Linked DNA regions of Saccharomyces cerevisiae S288C. The gene in region 1 interacts genetically with each later gene. Each region holds a gene or a part of one and is shown in the gene's direction. Other genes may lie near its edges.

Region 1 (11,988 bases):
AACAATCATCCAAGAAAAGGGTACCACGAGTCCGAAATATCCCTGGGCTGGAAATACCGAGGAATAAAAGGTCTAACCTCTATCAGGACATCAGATTTGATAAGTCCACCGGTAAAGCCCTTGATAGTTCTATCATAAGAAAACGTTACCAGTTCTTGGACGAATATAGAGAAAAAGAAATTGATGAACTGCAGAAGCTGTTACAAGAAAGAAAATTTCTATCAAAAATAGACCAGGGAGAACGTGAAGAAATGGAACAAAGACTGAAAAGTATGAAATCGAGATTGCAATCAATGAAAAACAAAGATCTCGAGCGTGAAATTCTCAAGGAATACGAAAATGATATGAATAAAAACAATAATACGAGATACCATTTGAAAAAGTCTGAGAAACGTAAAGTGGTGCAAAAGTGGAAATTTGATCACATGAAGGCCAAGCAACGTGAAAAGGTCATGGAAAGGAAAAGGAAGAAGAGATTGGGTAAAGAGTTTAAACAATTTGAATTTCATAATCGTAGGTAGAGTATTTAAGCAAAAGAATGCACATTAAAGTAATATATAGAGAAAGATAAAAAAATAAACGCACACATAAACTAATGGAAGTAAGAGGTTATCCGCGAACCACAAGGAGAAAATCGAATGAATCGGAGAGGTGACAACAAAAAATTTGAAATACACAAAAGGTTGTCTATATACAGGATATATCGATTATACTTGTTTCTTTTTGGCTTATTTTTTGGGCTTAACGTCAGCACCACCTTTAGCTAACCACTCAGTAATAGAACCAGGATAGATACCAGTGTTTTCGTACCCATAAGATCGAGCCAACTCTTCGGCAGTTTTGGCTCTTACTCCTTTCGCACAAAGAAAAATCAATTCTTTATCGTGAGGTGGTTTAGCAAATTGGAAAACTTTGTGAAACTCCTTTTCGGGCAATCCAAGAGCGCCAGGGGCACTATTCACCGGAATATTTATTGTAGTTGGCATCTTGTAATCCTTTACTTCCTTGGGTTCCCTTACATCTACCAATAGTTTTTTATCATTGGGGTGTTCGACTAGGTTCCTGACCTGGTCAAAAGTATAGATCTTTGGAGCCTTCGTTGTAAATGTTCTCAGGACCAATGTAGGCGATCTTGCAGAAACTGTCCTCGAGAGAATACCTGTACTATGCTTGAACATCGTTGGTCTTTTTCTTCTGTCTCGCTTCCATTTGTTGAGAGTTATCGCTATCTTATTCCATTCAGATTAAGTTTTGTATTTTTTTTTTTATACTTCCTAATTTCTTTGCGCCGCCGCTATCACAGCCAATGCAATAGGCAAATATTATGAACGGTGTGACATAAATGGCATAATACGTTACTAGCTTACGAAAATACACAGGGTACATACCTAGAGTATACAAGGCTATAAGTCAAGTTTATCACCCCCATGAGAAACCCAATCATTCATAGAGCCAGGATATAGTGAGGTGTTTGAATATCCATGTGAGGAGGCGACTTTTTGAGCTTCTCCCCCGCGTTTGCCAGAAGCACAATAAAATATTAGCTCCTTGGCACTGTCAGGTTTTGGGATGCCAATCTGTTTCTCAAATTCTAAAGGATCTAAGGCAAATGCGTCAGGGTGCGATCTATATGGCACATTGATGGAAGCAGGAATATGAACAATCGAGTACTCAGATGGTTCTCTAACATCTACCAAAACCACATTAGGATCATGCTTTCCAACGATTCTTTTCATGTCTTCAAAACTGTAAGATTGAATATTTGAAACATTCTTACTTTGACTCTCGGTTCCATTCCAAGCATTCATCACGGCCTTCCACATTTTAATATCGTTTCTTAGTCACAAACCCTGAAAATAAACGAGAAAGAATTCTTTGATTGATTAAGCCTCCACTCTCTTTTATACACCTCAAAAATTCTCCCCTTACTTCCTTCCCCGCGGGTAATAATATTCTCCAAAAAAAATACAAAAGCAATCAGATGTAACTTATATAGGTTCCAAGATAAATAACAAATTATTTGTCATTGCAAGTAGGAAAAGGACATACCGTAGGTGATATCTGGATTTGGGCCTTATGGAAGCCAATCTTAGTAGTAATTCGTCCATATGTCTACCAAAGGGGATAACAAAAAAGTACAACTACAAATTTTTCACACAGTGTCCCGTTAATTTCATATACTCAATATGCTGCGTTTAATCAAGAAAAATTCTGATATTTTGCGACAGAAGGTGTCCCTGGAAAGCGCTTAGTATGCTGTATGATCTTTGAAGTACAATGCACAGGGAAATAAATCACCATATCTGACGATCATCTTGCTAGTTTCTAAGTTCGGAACATCTTGTCTATGCGCCAATAAAACTAGTTTTACATCGTACAGAAACACTGTCCACTTAGAACTGGACACTTGTTTGCCCAGTATAGTTCTGATACTATTATTATGTATAATTCCCTCAATATTAAGCACTTTATGCAAACGTGTTGGCCCATTGAGGCATTGATATACGGCAAGTAATAGCACCTTTTGCTTCTTACCTTTATCAATTTGGAAATAATGTTCGAATTCTATTTTATTTTGCAGAATCCTTAGTATATTTTCTTCGTCGAACTTTTGTACACTATTTAGCTGAAACTTCATAAGCTTTCCGCTCAAATTAACCTTTGCATTTGTTGATGTCTGGCTATTCATTGGGGATGGGACCGGCTGGTGAGTGGACCTCTTACATTGTAATGATTTGTTCCTTTTCTGTAAAAGTTGTAGAAACGCGTCGTAGTACTTCTGCAAGTCGGCAAGAATGGGTTCAATCTGCTGAACGTCCAAACTAAAATCCTCCAAAAGATGTCGCATTTGATTTTCAATCATTGACAATCTCTTTTTATAGCCCAATGTAATACGATCGGCTTCGACAATTTCATCTTCTGAGTACTCAACTACCGAATCGTGGTCCAAATACATCTTGCCAAATTTTGTTTGTTGCATAGTTTCACTGATATACAATTCACCTGAATTTACCACCGACAGAACATATCCATTTCTCTGCTATGGAGTATCAATGTAGTCTTGTTACATATTACGACACAGTTTTCTTTCCTTTAAAATAAACGCGTCGTTCTCATCTCATGTGAAAAACTATATCAATAATATAAAAACATAAAACCCCTATAATTTATGAACATCTACTGCATTTAGATAAACCCTTACGAACTATATGTTTTAAAATAAAATACACGCATGCGAAATTTCTATTACTACCTAAACCGCATTTCTAATACAAAATGAGAAAAACCCAACAGTGAATAACCATATAGTGTCTAACGTAATCTTAAGTCACTGACGACAAATTCGCCATCACCAAGATGTTGGGTGTTTCCGACACGTCTCACAATAAACTGCTTGGAGTCCTTGACGTAATCAACTATAGTGACAGAGGTGTTGAAAACAATGATCTTATGAGCTTGATGATTTTCATACTTTAACCATTGTAAAATCATTCTGATAGCACCTCCATGACTAACTAGGGCTAGATTCTTGACACCTTCATTAGATGCTTCAGCAACTTCTTCTTCGACACATCCAGTTAACCTAGCAACAAAATCGTCACTTTTTTCCCCAAAATTTCTAAAGGAGCCTTCACCATGTTTATCAGCATACTTTTCAGCCTCAGTAATCTGCATACCTTCAATAACACCCATATAACGCTCCCTTAACCCCGAAGTATAGGAAGTAGGCACATTTTCTTGTTTTGAATGTTTCAAAACTAAAGCCGTAGTTTGCCTACACCTTTTTAAATCACTACTGACAACCTTATCAAAATGAATACCTCTTGAACGCAAGTAATGCCCCAATTTAGTGGCTTGTTCTTCTCCCGTAGGATTGATCGAGGTATCTTTGTGACCTTGCAAAATTTTTTTTACATTGTGTTCTGTTTGTCCATGCCTAATAATGAATAATCTGATGATGTTGTTATCGTCATTATCGCAATAATATGGTACTTCCTTAGTCATTCTTGGGTATAAATATATTTTTGGGTGCTTGTATAGCTTCGAGCTTCGTTGCCGCTTTGATCTTACAGTATGAGACTAATTCGAACCAGAATGAATAAAGCAATACTTTATGTTCTACAATTCAAAAAAGAATTAAGTAATATTGTGACGACCTGATTTTCCCATTGTATTAATATCGCTGGAAAAAAAATTACTGAAAAAAGAGGAAATCCCGCTAGAGGAAAAAAAGAAAAGGTTATATGATCGACCTGAAGAAATCTGCAGTACAAGATAACGCCTTCGAGTAAACATCACTGAGAAGAAAGGCATATTCAGCAGACATAATGCAGAATGAACCAATGTTTCAGGTCCAGGTGGACGAATCTGAAGACAGTGAATGGAACGATATTTTAAGAGCGAAGGGTGTAATACCAGAACGTGCACCTTCGCCCACTGCAAAGTTAGAAGAAGCATTAGAAGAAGCAATTGCCAAGCAGCATGAAAATAGACTAGAAGATAAAGACTTGTCGGATTTGGAAGAACTAGAAGACGATGAAGATGAAGATTTCTTGGAAGCTTACAAGATCAAAAGATTAAATGAAATCCGCAAATTACAGGAACGTTCCAAATTTGGAGAAGTTTTCCACATTAACAAACCTGAATACAACAAAGAGGTTACTTTGGCCAGTCAGGGAAAGAAATATGAAGGTGCACAAACCAATGACAATGGTGAAGAGGATGACGGTGGTGTCTACGTATTCGTTCATCTCTCGCTTCAAAGTAAACTACAAAGCAGAATTCTGTCTCATCTTTTCCAATCTGCTGCATGCAAATTCAGAGAAATAAAATTTGTAGAAATACCTGCCAATAGAGCAATTGAAAACTATCCCGAATCCAATTGCCCGACATTAATTGTATATTACCGGGGTGAGGTAATCAAAAACATGATAACGCTACTAGAACTGGGTGGTAATAATTCCAAGATGGAAGACTTTGAAGATTTTATGGTAAAAGTTGGCGCTGTTGCAGAAGGAGACAACAGACTGATAATGAACCGAGACGATGAAGAATCCAGGGAAGAGAGAAAATTGCATTACGGTGAAAAAAAATCGATCAGGTCAGGTATTAGAGGAAAATTTAATGTCGGCATAGGTGGAAATGATGATGGCAACATTAATGATGATGATGATGGATTTTTTGACTAAATAGTGCGAATATTCCTTATTTACAGGCTAAGTGGTGTCACTATCCCCATTATTTAATATATACAGATATAAAGAACAGCAAACTTTGTCATGTACTTCTCTGAATGTTTACGCGAGGATTACGGTATGTATGATTGAACATCGCTGCAGCATGGATTTTAGTAAGAGCCGTTGTCATGGCAACCAATTAAAGCTCTTTAATTACCGTCAAGCATACTTAGGATACAGATACAATAAAACCCCTTATTAAGTTCGAGCAGGCACATCTTGACAGAATAAACCTTTTAAATCGTCATATGGAGCATGGTCTGGTATCAAGTTTTACTACTTTTTCGCTTTGTTGTCAGAGGATAGAAATTTACTTTTTCTAGTTGTGCGTATAAAGAACACTATGGATGCAGTAATACAGAAAGTAATCTGTTCTACTTCGGTGCATTTTCAAACTGAATTCTACCACAAACCCCAGAATTATTATTATGAGTGAAAAGAAGAAAGTTCTAATGCTACATGGTTTTGTCCAATCCGATAAGATATTTTCTGCGAAGACTGGAGGATTACGAAAGAATTTGAAGAAGTTAGGTTACGATTTATACTATCCTTGCGCCCCACATTCAATTGATAAAAAAGCGTTATTCCAATCAGAGTCAGAAAAGGGTAGAGATGCTGCGAAGGAATTCAACACCTCAGCGACTAGTGATGAAGTATACGGGTGGTTCTTTAGAAATCCCGAATCTTTCAATTCCTTTCAAATAGATCAAAAGGTGTTTAACTATTTACGTAACTACGTGCTAGAAAATGGACCATTTGATGGTGTCATTGGATTCAGCCAAGGTGCAGGTCTTGGGGGCTACTTAGTCACTGACTTTAACAGAATATTAAATCTTACTGATGAACAACAGCCCGCTTTAAAATTTTTTATTTCATTTAGTGGATTCAAATTAGAAGATCAATCCTACCAGAAAGAATATCATAGGATTATCCAGGTGCCCTCTCTACATGTAAGGGGGGAGTTAGATGAAGTTGTAGCAGAATCTAGAATCATGGCATTGTACGAGTCATGGCCCGATAACAAAAGGACATTGTTGGTTCATCCTGGAGCCCATTTTGTCCCAAACTCGAAACCATTCGTATCCCAAGTTTGCAATTGGATCCAAGGAATTACTAGCAAAGAGGGTCAAGAGCATAATGCCCAACCTGAAGTAGATCGGAAACAATTTGACAAACCTCAATTGGAAGATGATTTGTTAGATATGATCGATTCCTTGGGTAAATTGTAATTCGATAATTGATATTTATATGAGCTACATACAATTTTTATAAAACTATTGAAAATATCGACGAGAAAAAGGAATAGTGTGACTTTTCTGCCGCCTTCTTTGACGTTTGATTTTCTATACCTGATTTATATCTGTTGCTAAAGAAAGAATTTTCGCGGCACACGAATGATATATATTTAACGTAAGGATTTCTTTTATCTGGCGGAAGTATCTCAATATATTAATATTAAACGCTGTTGAACACTATCCTAGGAACACTGACAGCTAGAAGTGATCATAAGACATTGCATATAAAATAACTATTAATTTTAATTAAAAGAATTTAATTAGAACAACAGGAAGGTGTTATAAGAAAGTGCGAATGAGTACAAATACGGAAATCATAAAAAATAGTGATTTGCAAAGTTTAATCAATGATAAGAGGAGGTTAATAAATGAAATAAAAGACTTTAATAAATCCATTAAACCCTTGGAGTTTGAATCGTATCAGGATTATTTCCTGATAAAAACGTTCAAAAAAGGAATATCTGCAAGTGGCCATGTGGATATTGACAGTTTAAGAAATAAAGAATATGGAATATACTACAAGAAAATCAAGAGGAACTCTACACAAGAAGTCGGCGAACCAATCCCTCGCAACACATCCTCCTCCTCCTCTTCTACTAGATCAAACTCATCAGCTGATATCAGCGATACAGAATATTCAGGTGAGAACACTCCTACAACTACTGGTGCTGCCAGTCGAAGAAGACGTACGAGATCTCGAGCTATTCAAAGAGAAAATAGTCTACCAGCATCTTTACCCTCAATTAGTGAAGCGAATGCAAACAATGATGATGTTACTATTTCTGAAATAAATGGAAGTGAATTGCCATTTCCAATTCCAATATCAGAAGTGGAAAATATTGACATTGCTTCAGATATAACTGAAAGGGATGGTATTAGAAGGAGATCATCAAGGATATCAGAAAGAGACAAAAGACGTTCACAGTCTAGACTGGGGTCAGAAGAAGATGAAGAAGGCGACGGACATGACGGAGATGAAGGGGAGACCAAAATCCAAGACCTATATGAGAGTTTGGTACCCAAAATTTTGGAGTCACGTAGAAGGTCTGATTGGATCCTCCCTCCTAAGGCAAGATATACACCAGAAAAGCAAATGAGGACCAAACCGTCATTCAAGAGCATAAAGATTAATGAACTTGTCGGGAATAAAAGAATACGAAGTATATTATCTAGATTTGAAGGTGGTGTAGCGGGTATACGCAAAAGAGATTGGGACTCTACCCAATAGCTTCTTTGAAGAAGTAAATAAATATAAATAGAGAGAAATATGACGTATCAATATTATTTATGGCGCTGGTATAATTCAATAGCATCTAATAGCGACTTGGGGTCCGGTTTTGGACTGACCACATCAGAGGTTACATCATTATCATCCAGATATTTTTTAGTGGTAGGTCCGATGGACGCAACCCGTAGATGGGAACCTGGTAGGCGGTTACTGTCACCCAAATACTGAGTAATTTCTTTCGTTCCCTGGGGACTGAAAACTACCACCCAGTCCGAGAATACTTCATCCTCATCGCATTCTTTCATGGCGTGTATGAATCTTTTAAAACCGTCGCTTAATTCTTCAGTTTTATAAGTAACCACTTCTCTTACTTTTATTCCCTTGCTATGGAGTTTCTTTGGGATGATATCTCTTCTAATTTCACCCACGAGAAATAATAGTTCACTTGGTGGGCATGCCTTAATATCCGTACTCAAGTCATCAATAATTATATCAGCAAGGATTGAACCATTACCAGCGTCTTCTCCACCTTTAACATTAATGAAACCTGATCTTCTGATGAAGTTAGCAGTAGCAGGGCCTACAGTATAAACTGTTTTACTGAGCAATGCAGCTTTTTGTTCACTTGTCAATGTGGGAATGATCGCTTCATTCAATGACTCTACAGTCCTTTGAGAGGTAATAATAATGTAATTGATAGTATTCAAATAGTTTGGGATGGTATTCAAAACATTTCTAAAATCTTGAATTACATGTGTATGTTTAATAAGCGGTACGAATATGGGTTCAAACGCCTTACTCCTACACTCCAATTCATATTTATCAATGGGGACAGTTTTATTCTTGAGCAGTAATACTCTGACTTTTTTACGACTAGACATCTCTCGAGCAAGGTCTATTTTACCTTTCTGTTTCCTTATCCTTTGACACTAAAATTCAAAAAACTCACTAGAAAGTTCACTAAAGCGCCTTAGCTGACTACAGCACAACCCAACCCCAAAAACTAGTGAACTACACACTAAGAGAATTTATGGTATTTCCATAATTGAAGTATATGTACGATGTATACAATGTAAACAAGAGAGTAATGAAGTGAAGATATGTACACCTAGAGCGAACCAATGATAATTTGTTTTCTTAATTAAGAAAAACCATTAAAACTGGATTAGATTTCAATAATGAAAAGCTAGGAACAAAAAAAATTGGTCTACTTCCAGCCATTTGCGCTTTATATAGACATATGGAGGCGTGATGTCTTAAGCATGGTAATCCGGAAGATCAGTTTATTGAATGATGGTTTTCTTATCCTGAAGGATCCTGCAAATGAAGTAAGTTCAAAGAATTGAAATGAAATCGCCTTTTATACCCTCGCCGCACCAAGGAGCGCGCTGTGAAAATTTTTCGCTTTATCTCTTAGGGCTCCTACTGTCGGTAGAGAAAAGTTGAGTATATTTAAAGCATGAGGTAACTTTTCTGCCCATTTTTACTTCTATTTCCATTTGAATTCAGAAAAGTGAAGCAAAATTACACCATGAGTTCCTATTAACGTCAGCCTCTTTTGTACTCATAATGTGGCTTCGGATGTTTGATGGGCGTTGCTTCAGTGCGTACGGCTCATGGTAGATTAATTATTAGAAAGATGTATCTCCAGCTGTTGATATTAGAGGGGGAAGCCTTTCTCTTTCACCTCGCCTTTTTAAACACCTGATACAGTTGGTCATGATTCGTTCTACATTTTAATTTCTTTATGTAACCACGTTGTATATTTTCAATCTGGAAAGTAACCTAAAAGAGTAAAAACTGTTTATTAAAAAAAATGTTATTCAAAATTTATACATAGTACACGTACAGCTGCCTGAAGAAAGCATGAGCGAATGACTTATGCTTCGTCGTCTTCGTCTTCACTTTCCAAAGCAGCAAATGCGTTGAAACCAAGAATTGGCTTGTCCGCAACAATATCTCTGGTATCAGCAGGTCTGTTGGAAGAAATATTTTTGTTATTTGGCTTGACTTTTAAAGTTTCTTGGGCAATGGTAGCAACTGGCACAGTAGAAGTTGGTGTGGTTTCTGTTTCTTCTTCATCATCTTCTCCACTACCCTTCTTCTTGGCTTCAAATGTGCACCAACCATCTGAATCGGTTGTAACCTTAGGCTTGTTGTGCTTAATCTTTGGTCTACCATGATGGTGGGAAGATCTTCTACGACCGAAATGACCAACATGATGACTGTTAAACTCTTCCTCTTTCAAGTGTTGCAATTGCTTAACTTTTTCAATGATGGCTCTAAATTCCACCGCATCGAAATTAACTTCCAAAGTTAAACTTGGCTTCAGTTGAAAAAGCTCATCGATAGTATACTTGATCATGTCGTGAAATTAAATAAAAGTTCTTAATCCTATATTCAGGTTACAGCTCAAATAATGTCTATCGCAATCGGTAGAATATGCTTTACGCCAAATACTTTTTCCAATTTTTCACTATTTTTCGTCCAGGAAAAGAGATATTCAAGCCTCGCTACTACCCGGCTTTATAATATAGCATAAGAAAAGGGACTATAAAGCCTTATTAAAACACTACTATACCCTTGCAGAGAGAGTATTATTATCTATGGAGATCCAGGCAGTGTGACATGAGTGAACTGCTTGCCATTCCACTTAAGCGAACTTTAGAAGTGGACTTTGCCACGGAGTTGTCAAAACTAATTGATACTACTTCCTTTCAAACGGCATCCTTTTTCCAATCAGACATACTCAAAGTTGTTGATGCAAGAAACAATGCGATTGCACCCGATATCTCAATCGACGGTCTTTCTGCACTGAAGGAATACTATGTAATATTGTTGCAATTAGAGAAAAAGTTTCCCAATAATCAAATAGAATTTACATGGTTTCAAACGCTATCACAAAAATCTCGTGGTACTAGTCAATACTCATTACAATGGGAAAAATTAACCATTATTTATAATATTGGTTGCATGTATTCACTGTTGGCTCTAAATAGCAACAATGATGCAGCCGAATCCCTCAAAACGTCATGTCTGTACTTCCAGAATGCCGCCGGATGCTTTAAACATGTTTTAGACCACCAAAAAAATCTTGAGACAATCCCAGTGGTAGATGACGCCACATTGAACGCTTTAACCTCCCTGATGCTAGCACAAGCGCAAGAATGCTTCTGGTTTAAAGCCGTGCAAGATAAACACAAGGACTCCTTAATCGCGAAGTTGTCACAACAGATCGTGGACTTCTACTGCGAGGCTATTAATGACGCCCAAAGGGGGAAACTTATTAGAAGTGATTGGATAAACCACTTAAAGGCTAAAAAGGCTTACTTTAGTGCGGTGACTTATTACAGAATAGCCTTATCTTTTAATGAGAAGAAGCAGTTCGGAAATGTTGTGAAAGCTCTGCAAATGGGATTGCAATTTATAAATGAATCAACACTATCTTCGCAAGCTAAGTTTAAAACTGTTGTCGAATCTTCTCTGAAAGAAGCCCAAAGAGACAATGAATTCATCTACTTACAAGAAGTTCCTTCGGAATTACCATCGATCAAACCAGCTCTCATGGTTAAACCATCTTCTTCAGCAACATTGTTGCCTTCTATTAAAAAGGATGAGACTTTATTCAAAGACCTAATCCCTATAGAAGTGATGGAATATTGCACAGCATACAATGAAAGGCAAGATGAATACGTTGAACAACGTGTTACCAATCCCCTTGCTTCCCTAAATAAACTATTGAAGGAGTCCTTGACTACTTTCCAAATACCACAAGGGCTTACAAAGGTGAGTGAAGCAGAACTGAGTCATTACCAGGCATCACTGAATAATCTTCTCATTAATAATAAAAATGTGCAGGTACAACTCGATAACATTGAGCAAATTTTAAATGAAGAAGCATTTACTGACAATCAGCTCCGACTAAAACACGGAACCTTAAATTGGACTTTACCCGAATCTTCAACTACTAACACAGCATATTATGAAAAACTAAAAAAGCTGAGAGGATACCTTGATGAAGGTAGTGCGATTGACAAACAAACAAATGAACTATTTCAAAGCATCGATAAAAATTTGATTGGATCAGAGATCAGGTTACCGGAATCTAATGATCCTCTAACGAATAAGATTAAGATGATCATACAGGAAAGAAATGATTATATTGATAGGACGAGGCGGAAATCTTCAGAATATAGAATACTTCCAAAGATCATTACATCGTATAAAA
Region 2 (3,942 bases), on another chromosome or scaffold:
GTACGAGTATTGTGGACACAACCACAATCTCGCCGACTCTGACGTCAACGAGTACGACCCCATTGACAACCGCCTCAACCAGTACAACACCATCAACTGATATAACATCGGCACTGCCCACGACTACAAGCACAAAGTTGTCAACATCCATTCCCACAAGCACGACATCGTCAACCTCTACCACCACAAGTACCTCATCGTCGACTTCTACGACCGTAAGTGTCACATCATCAACATCTACCACCACAAGTACTACGTCGTCAACCCTCATTTCCACGAGCACATCATCATCATCATCATCAACTCCAACCACAACATCGTCAGCCCCCATTTCTACAAGCACGACGTCGTCAACTTCCACTTCAACAAGTACAACATCGCCAACTTCTTCTTCAGCACCTACAAGCTCGTCTAATACAACACCAACGAGCACAACGTTCACTACGACATCACCCAGTACAGCCCCTTCAAGCACTACGGTTACTTACACCAGTACCACAGCATCTCCAATAACGTCCACTATAACTTCTGTAAACCTGCAGACCTCCTTAAAGTATTCTGTGATAACAGTGACTTCAGTGCACACCATGGACACTAACATTTCGGAAATCACCTCGAGATATCTCACCATGAAAAAAGTAATAACGCAGATTTACTCTTCCACCCTCGGGGCTACTCCTACTTCTGCAGTGGCTACTACGTCTGCCAGCGTAGGTGGTAGAATAACAAACAATAACAATAGTAACACCACCAACAGCAATACACCAACTAACAAGTCTACAGAAAAGAAAGGGTACTGGGATTCGCCCGGGAAAATAGCCGCTACTTTCGTCGTGGTTGGAGTGGTATGTTTGGTAATTATATGCATACTAATATACTTAATACATCATTATAGAACAAGACCCGCTCGGAAGGCTCAAGATTTTGAGAATGAATATCAGAGTAAGTTTTACCAGTCCAAGTACCCAAATGAAGTTACCACTACCACGTTACACACGCCTTCACCATCTTCAAATTCAACTTTCTCGACCCCAAGATTAATATACACTGATGAAAAGGGACAAATTATGTCTGAATCACCATCCCCACGTCAATCTACGTATTCCTTGACTGCAGGCAGTCCACCAAATGACCCAAGCACGTTGGCAAGCCCATTTCACGATCCCATTCTTCCCAGAAGAACTTCTACTTTTCTTCATTCGCCCATTCAAAAGCAACACGAAAAAATGGAATCAAACGTTACTCTAGGTGAAGACACGGTACTGGTGGATCAGAGGCTAGACCCAAGTAAGATGCTTAACACTTTAGCAAATGACGATGCCACAAACCACTCTACCATTTCGTTATCAGACAACGTAGACTACTCCAGGAGGGTTCTGCGGCTAATGAACGAATAAAGACTGCAGCTCTTATACGTAATAAATATTCCACGAACGATAATACATACATAATTTTAATTCTGAACTTTGTTTTTTTCCTTCGAATGTTCTCAAAAGAATGCTTTACGACAATAACGCTGTTATCTTGTACATACTTTTCTCTGCCCAGTGACAGCAGGCACAATAATCTAAATACCGCGTTCGTGCGAGACATTCTCTGTGATTCACAGATTACGGCGCAGAAAATAAAATAGCCGTCCAGCTCGGAGTTTCTAAAATTACGTCCGAGATGACGGAGGCTTATAAAATCATTTCAGACGGGTGAGGGATGCCAATCTACGAGACAAAAGATAAAAAATTAAGACTCAATAATATAGAAAGGAACTAAATGTTTTCATAAGAGTCACCGTCTATAACCTTTTTTTTTTTTATTGGTCTGTTATCACTTCCACTGAGAAAGTAATATTGCTATTGCACAACACTTTTTGAACAAGTGCAAAGATAAAATACTGAAAACGGTAAAGTAGGTTTGTTTAAATTGACTTAAGATGGTGCCATTGGAAGATCTGCTTAATAAAGAAAATGGCACTGCCGCACCTCAACACAGCCGGGAGAGTATAGTAGAAAATGGGACAGACGTTTCTAACGTCACAAAGAAGGACGGGCTGCCCAGTCCTAACCTATCTAAAAGGTCTTCTGATTGTTCGAAGAGGCCTAGAATTAGGTGTACCACGGAAGCTATTGGCTTGAACGGTCAAGAAGATGAACGGATGTCACCAGGCAGCACTTCTTCATCATGCTTACCATATCATAGTACTTCACACTTGAACACTCCTCCATACGATCTATTGGGCGCTTCGGCAGTTTCACCCACCACATCATCTTCCTCTGACTCGTCCTCCTCCTCGCCATTGGCACAAGCGCATAACCCGGCAGGTGATGACGACGATGCGGATAATGACGGTGATTCTGAGGATATAACACTATATTGTAAATGGGACAACTGTGGTATGATTTTCAACCAACCAGAGCTGCTATATAATCATCTGTGTCATGACCATGTTGGCAGGAAGTCACATAAGAACCTACAATTGAATTGTCATTGGGGAGACTGTACCACGAAGACGGAGAAAAGGGACCATATCACCTCGCATTTGAGAGTTCACGTACCATTGAAACCGTTCGGTTGCTCTACGTGCTCCAAAAAGTTTAAACGTCCGCAAGATTTAAAAAAGCATTTGAAAATTCATCTGGAAAGTGGCGGTATTTTGAAAAGAAAGAGGGGACCCAAATGGGGCTCAAAAAGAACTTCTAAGAAAAACAAAAGTTGTGCAAGCGACGCAGTGTCGTCTTGTTCTGCATCTGTGCCTTCCGCTATAGCTGGTAGCTTTAAGTCACATTCTACTTCTCCACAGATATTACCCCCATTGCCCGTGGGTATATCTCAACATCTGCCTTCACAACAGCAGCAGCGGGCTATTTCCTTAAACCAACTATGCTCAGACGAGCTATCTCAGTATAAGCCGGTATATTCTCCACAATTGAGTGCCAGATTGCAAACGATCTTGCCGCCATTATACTACAATAACGGCAGCACGGTAAGCCAAGGTGCCAACAGTCGGAGCATGAATGTCTACGAGGACGGTTGTTCTAATAAGACCATAGCAAACGCCACCCAATTCTTCACCAAACTATCGAGAAATATGACAAATAACTACATTTTGCAACAAAGCGGTGGTAGTACTGAGTCCTCGTCATCATCTGGGCGCATCCCCGTAGCACAAACAAGCTATGTGCAGCCACCTAATGCTCCTTCATACCAATCCGTACAAGGTGGTAGCTCTATTTCGGCCACTGCAAATACAGCAACTTATGTGCCAGTACGGTTGGCCAAGTATCCAACTGGTCCTTCGCTTACTGAACATTTGCCACCTTTACATTCGAACACTGCCGGTGGTGTTTTCAACCGCCAATCACAGTATGCTATGCCACACTATCCATCTGTTCGTGCTGCGCCTAGCTATTCCTCCAGTGGCTGTTCTATATTACCGCCTCTACAATCAAAGATACCAATGTTACCATCGCGCCGTACAATGGCAGGTGGAACTTCATTGAAGCCTAACTGGGAATTTAGCCTGAACCAAAAAAGCTGTACTAATGATATTATCATGAGTAAGCTGGCGATTGAAGAAGTAGATGACGAAAGCGAGATAGAGGATGATTTCGTAGAGATGTTGGGTATAGTGAACATTATCAAGGACTACTTGTTGTGCTGTGTCATGGAAGATTTAGATGATGAAGAAAGTGAGGACAAAGATGAAGAAAACGCATTCTTGCAAGAATCTTTAGAAAAATTGAGTTTACAAAACCAAATGGGAACTAACTCAGTTCGCATCTTGACCAAGTATCCCAAAATTTTGGTATGATATGGATTGTCGGATATTTTATTCTTAGTTGTTTCTTTGCGGCTGTATAGTAAATGAATAAATCACACATGCCCTAGCGCGGCGTCGCGGATTAAACAAGGTAACAATGGTTAAAGGAAAAATTATTTGTTAAGGTG
Region 3 (5,084 bases), on another chromosome or scaffold:
ATTAACAGGGGAATCCGATTTGAAAACCTTGGATCTCATTTTAACTAGGAATGCCACCACAAAGAGAATATTCATATGGAATCCATATGCAAACATGAAATCCCACAGTTTAATGACCTGATCAAGCGGTTTATTGCAGCTGGATAACGTGAGTATGGAAGGCATACCATAAATCTCTGCTGTAAGTAAATTGTCCGATAGAAATTTACTCAGCTTTGGATCAATGATTCTGAGAGAAATATCTAGTAGTTTGGCGCCGTTCTGGGCGCCGTTTAGGTTCTTAGTTAGATACGTCGGTATCATTTCATAACAAAGCTTAGTGAAAAGTTGATACGCCATAGGTTCAGAAGGACATGAGTAAAGCAGAGGAGCTAATAACACGTTCATGCCCTGCACATATGTGCTCACAGGAATGCGACCAAAACGAGTCTTTTGTCTTCTTTGTTGTGTTTGCCAAGCAAAGCACGACAGACACCGGATGAGGGCATCCTCTGAGACTCTATTTCTAAAGTTTGGATCCGTCTGAAAAGTTCTGGATGTGTCGTTCTTGATTTTTTGGTAAATGGTTGTGGAAGGTGGGCCCAGTTTCAAGAGCGCAAGGTACCGTTGTGTAGACGCCTCCATAGAAGTTTGAGAGAGCACCGTCCACACGTAACATCGCGTGCGCTGCTGCTGTTTATCTTCAGATATGGGAAGCCCTTCACTGAGTATGAGGTAGCGAAGTTGAGAGAGTGAGGAATGCAGTAGCAGGGGAGGATTTGATATCAGATCTTCAATTGAGGTCATGCAAAAGTTAACAAGTTTAAAAGTCTGTTGTTTCTTTTACCTTTACGTCGTTACTATTATTACTATTATTATCATTTTTTTTTTTTTTTTTTTCAATGTTTAGCTTGGCGTACGTAAACGGTTCCCTTCCGCACGGCGTTTACTGAATTGTCAGGACATAAATTCAAAGAAGAAAGAAGACCTCCAGTGTCATTATAGCATAAGACAGGTATGTAGCAAGAATGAATATGTAAATAAATAGCAAGAATATGTAGAATTTTTAGATTTTATTCGTTTGTTGTTTTCTTTTTTTTTCACTTGAATTTTTTGCCAAACATTATGAGTTGCAACTGATCGTACAATGAGATGACACCAGCTGCAGCGACTCCTCTAAATATGTTGGCACCACAGCCCTTGAACAAGGAATACGCGCCCTCTTTCTGAACAATCTTTCTCAAACAGTCCAGAGCACCGTCGTACTTGATGGTCTGGCCCGAAGTCATCATCATCCTTCTTCTTACCGTATCCAAGGGATACGACGCAGTGGAAGCACCCATGGTAATGACCCAACCTAATAGGAAAGAGGCAACAAAGGACCCCTCTAGAGCCCCCGTCAACAGCACAGGCTTGAAAGAATCGTACAAGCCAAAGTACAGACCTCTGTAGACAATGATACCCAGAACTGAGGGCACAAACCCACGGTACAGACCCAACAACCCGTCCGTTTTCAGTGTCTTCTTATACACGTCTAGCAATCCATTAAACTGTCTTTGCGAGGTTGACTTAGAACCCCTAGCATCCGCTGCAAGCCGCGTCCTTGCGTAGTCCAAGGAATATACAAATAGAAGCGACAAACCACCAGCCGCTCCACCAGAGAAAAGATTTCCAGCAAACCACTTGGCATACCCATCGCGCTCTCTGTCGTAACTCAACAACGACTTAATTTTGTCTTTGAAGGCAAAATTCAGCGCCTGCGTGGGGAAATACCGGAGAACATTGGCGGTGTTACCCCTCCAGAACGACACAATACCTTCATGAGTCGCAGTCCTCTTGAAGCAATCTAAAATTCCCTTGTACCGTGTATCCAACGAGCCCTGTTTAAGCATCTCTTCTTGATTCTGCATCAACAGTTTCACCCGTTCAATGGGAGCGGCACCCGTCTTCGCAATGGCAGCAGAAACGCCGCCCATAAGGAAGTCCACACCGAAGTGTGACTGCTGAGTCTGTGTTTCTGTGTGAGACATTACTGCTGTAAAAAGGAAAAATAGAAAAGAATAACAGATACGAGAATCTGTGCTGCCTTCTTTGCGATAATGCCTTGGCTTGCCTATTTCACGGTTACAGGAATAATAACATGTTCATACCGTTTCAGGACCAATAAATGGTCTTCTGCGAGAGAAAAAGGACACTCTCCGTCCGACAGAAATAAGCTTTACTTTCCGGGTGCGAATCAGCCCGTTGCGCCTGGGGTGGTCCCTACAGTACGCTGAGTCGCCGATAAAGACCCTCCGCCTAGAGCTAGGCGAGGCTGACTTAGGCAGGCCCAACAGGCAAGGCCCATCTTCAAAAGTGCACCCATTTGCAGGTGCTCTTATTCTCGCCAATTGCGACAGAAAATGAAGGATGCACTCAAACAGTCGATCCTTCGAGGGAGTATGCCAAGGCCTCGTGCATGTAGTGCGATTATATATATATATATATATATATATATATGTATGTAAGCAGGCCATGCCCTATAGCTCTTGTTCTATAAGCGATGGATAGGCATAGGAAACGAAGAGGACCCCAGTGTAAGGAAGAGTAGCAAAAAATTAGAACTAGATGACTAACGCTTTGCTCTCTATAGCCGTTTTGCTTTTCTCGATGCTCTCGCTAGCACAAGCGGAGACGCACACGTTTAATTGGACCACTGGCTGGGACTACAGGAACGTTGATGGGCTAAAGAGCCGTCCCGTGATCACCTGTAATGGCCAGTTCCCATGGCCAGATATAACGGTCAACAAAGGTGACCGTGTGCAGATTTACTTGACCAACGGAATGAACAACACCAATACTTCTATGCATTTCCACGGTCTCTTCCAAAACGGAACCGCCTCTATGGACGGTGTGCCCTTCTTGACGCAATGTCCAATTGCGCCAGGCAGTACTATGCTTTACAATTTCACGGTGGACTACAATGTAGGCACCTACTGGTACCATTCACACACGGACGGTCAATATGAAGACGGGATGAAAGGTCTTTTCATCATCAAGGATGATAGCTTCCCCTACGATTACGATGAGGAACTTTCTTTATCGCTTAGTGAGTGGTACCACGACTTGGTCACGGACTTGACGAAGTCGTTCATGAGTGTTTATAATCCGACAGGTGCTGAGCCCATCCCACAGAACTTGATTGTTAACAACACGATGAATCTGACATGGGAAGTCCAGCCCGATACGACGTATCTTTTGAGAATTGTCAACGTGGGTGGGTTCGTTTCGCAGTACTTTTGGATCGAGGACCACGAAATGACCGTGGTCGAAATCGACGGTATCACTACCGAGAAGAACGTAACGGATATGCTTTACATCACTGTCGCTCAGAGATATACAGTCCTGGTTCACACTAAAAACGACACGGACAAAAATTTCGCCATCATGCAGAAATTTGATGACACCATGTTGGATGTCATTCCAAGTGATTTACAGCTGAATGCAACCTCTTATATGGTCTACAACAAAACCGCTGCGCTGCCCACACAAAATTACGTGGATTCAATTGATAACTTCTTGGACGATTTCTACTTGCAACCGTACGAGAAAGAAGCCATCTATGGCGAGCCAGATCATGTGATTACCGTTGACGTTGTTATGGATAACTTGAAAAACGGTGTGAATTACGCCTTCTTCAATAATATCACCTATACTGCACCAAAAGTTCCTACTTTGATGACCGTTTTGTCTTCAGGTGATCAAGCAAACAACTCCGAAATCTACGGTTCAAACACGCACACTTTCATCCTAGAGAAGGATGAAATCGTGGAGATTGTGCTAAATAACCAGGACACAGGTACCCATCCTTTCCATTTACATGGTCACGCTTTCCAAACCATCCAGAGAGATCGTACATATGATGATGCCCTAGGTGAAGTTCCTCACAGTTTCGATCCGGACAACCACCCTGCCTTCCCAGAATACCCAATGAGAAGAGATACTTTATACGTTAGACCACAATCCAATTTCGTCATCAGGTTTAAAGCCGATAACCCAGGTGTTTGGTTCTTCCATTGTCATATCGAATGGCATTTGTTGCAAGGTTTGGGTCTTGTTCTCGTGGAGGATCCTTTTGGTATCCAAGATGCTCATTCTCAACAACTCAGTGAAAACCACTTAGAAGTTTGCCAGAGTTGCTCTGTGGCCACTGAAGGTAACGCCGCTGCCAATACACTGGATTTAACTGATTTAACTGGTGAAAATGTTCAGCATGCCTTCATTCCTACCGGTTTTACCAAAAAAGGTATTATTGCCATGACATTCTCCTGCTTTGCCGGTATTCTTGGTATTATCACAATTGCAATTTATGGTATGATGGATATGGAAGATGCGACCGAAAAGGTTATTCGAGACTTGCACGTGGACCCTGAAGTCTTGCTAAATGAGGTTGATGAAAATGAAGAGCGTCAGGTAAACGAAGATCGTCATTCCACTGAAAAGCATCAATTTTTAACTAAAGCCAAACGGTTCTTCTAATAAAGGAAGATCATGTATTTTGCGGTTAACCTGTTTTTTTTTTTTCGGTCAAGGGTTCCAAATGCATTTGCATGTAAAGTGAATGCCCTTGTCTTACTTAATATTACATAGACATATACTTAATAATCTACCACGTTTCAAATTCAATAATGCATGCTTCTTGGCGGTTTTTGACATGAGATCCTCATCTGTCACGAGGCTGATGTGCATACTTTTACTTTTAATCGATGACATGATCAGTTTCTTTTGAACAAAAAGCCGTTATGGGTTGAAAAAAAGTGAAAATGAAAAAGTCATCAGAAATATATGAAAGATATAATAAATTGTCGAAGAGAAATTACGTCGAGGAGGTTGAGGAAAATAAGAATGGCAACGACAGATATCATATCTCTAGTAAAAAATAATTTACTCTATTTCCAAATGTGGACGGAAGTGGAAATTTTACAAGACGATTTATCATGGAAGGGAAATAGCCTGAGATTACTGAGAGGTCGTCCGCCTCACAAGCTGAGCAACGATGTAGACACAGAGCATGAAAATAGCTTGTCATCGCCACGCCCGCTAGAGTTCATATTACCCATCAATAT

What was found.
Region 2: of RIM20 (region 1) and RIM101, extra expression of one rescues a mutant of the other (dosage rescue), as found in Saccharomyces cerevisiae (4 studies listed by BioGRID, with this or other methods).
Region 3: mutations in RIM20 (region 1) and FET3 together harm fitness more than expected from each alone (negative genetic interaction), as found in Saccharomyces cerevisiae (3 studies listed by BioGRID, with this or other methods).

Annotation. Positions count from the first base shown.
Region 1 is NC_001147.6:839,470-851,457, reverse strand, and holds the start of RIM20 (Rim20p), read left to right. Parts: upstream 1-10,388; coding exon 10,389-11,988. Other genes in the region: rRNA-processing protein RRP36, read left to right, coding at 1-521; thiosulfate sulfurtransferase RDL2, read right to left, coding at 729-1,178; thiosulfate sulfurtransferase RDL1, read right to left, coding at 1,404-1,823; HUA2 (Hua2p), read right to left, coding at 2,249-2,980; YOR283W (phosphoglycerate mutase), read right to left, coding at 3,313-4,005; PLP2 (Plp2p), read left to right, coding at 4,329-5,189; FSH3 (putative serine hydrolase), read left to right, coding at 5,666-6,466; RFM1 (Rfm1p), read left to right, coding at 6,828-7,760; uroporphyrinogen-III synthase HEM4, read right to left, coding at 7,814-8,641; CAF20 (Caf20p), read right to left, coding at 9,640-10,125. UniProt on the Saccharomyces cerevisiae protein: Required for the proteolytic cleavage of the transcriptional repressor RIM101 in response to alkaline ambient pH, which is necessary for sporulation and invasive growth.
Region 2 is NC_001140.6:49,184-53,125, forward strand, and holds RIM101 (alkaline-responsive transcriptional regulator RIM101), read left to right. Parts: upstream 1-1,927; coding exon 1,928-3,805; downstream 3,806-3,942. Other genes in the region: WSC4 (Wsc4p), read left to right, coding at 1-1,397. UniProt on the Saccharomyces cerevisiae protein: Transcription factor that mediates regulation of both acid- and alkaline-expressed genes in response to ambient pH.
Region 3 is NC_001145.3:386,236-391,319, forward strand, and holds FET3 (ferroxidase FET3), read left to right. Parts: upstream 1-2,586; coding exon 2,587-4,497; downstream 4,498-5,084. Other genes in the region: BUB2 (Bub2p), read right to left, coding at 1-786; ADP/ATP carrier protein AAC1, read right to left, coding at 1,080-2,009; SEN15 (Sen15p), read left to right, coding at 4,864-5,084. UniProt on the Saccharomyces cerevisiae protein: Iron transport multicopper ferroxidase required for Fe(2+) ion high affinity uptake. Required to oxidize Fe(2+) to Fe(3+), which is then transported into the cell via the ferric iron permease FTR1. Essential component of copper-dependent iron transport.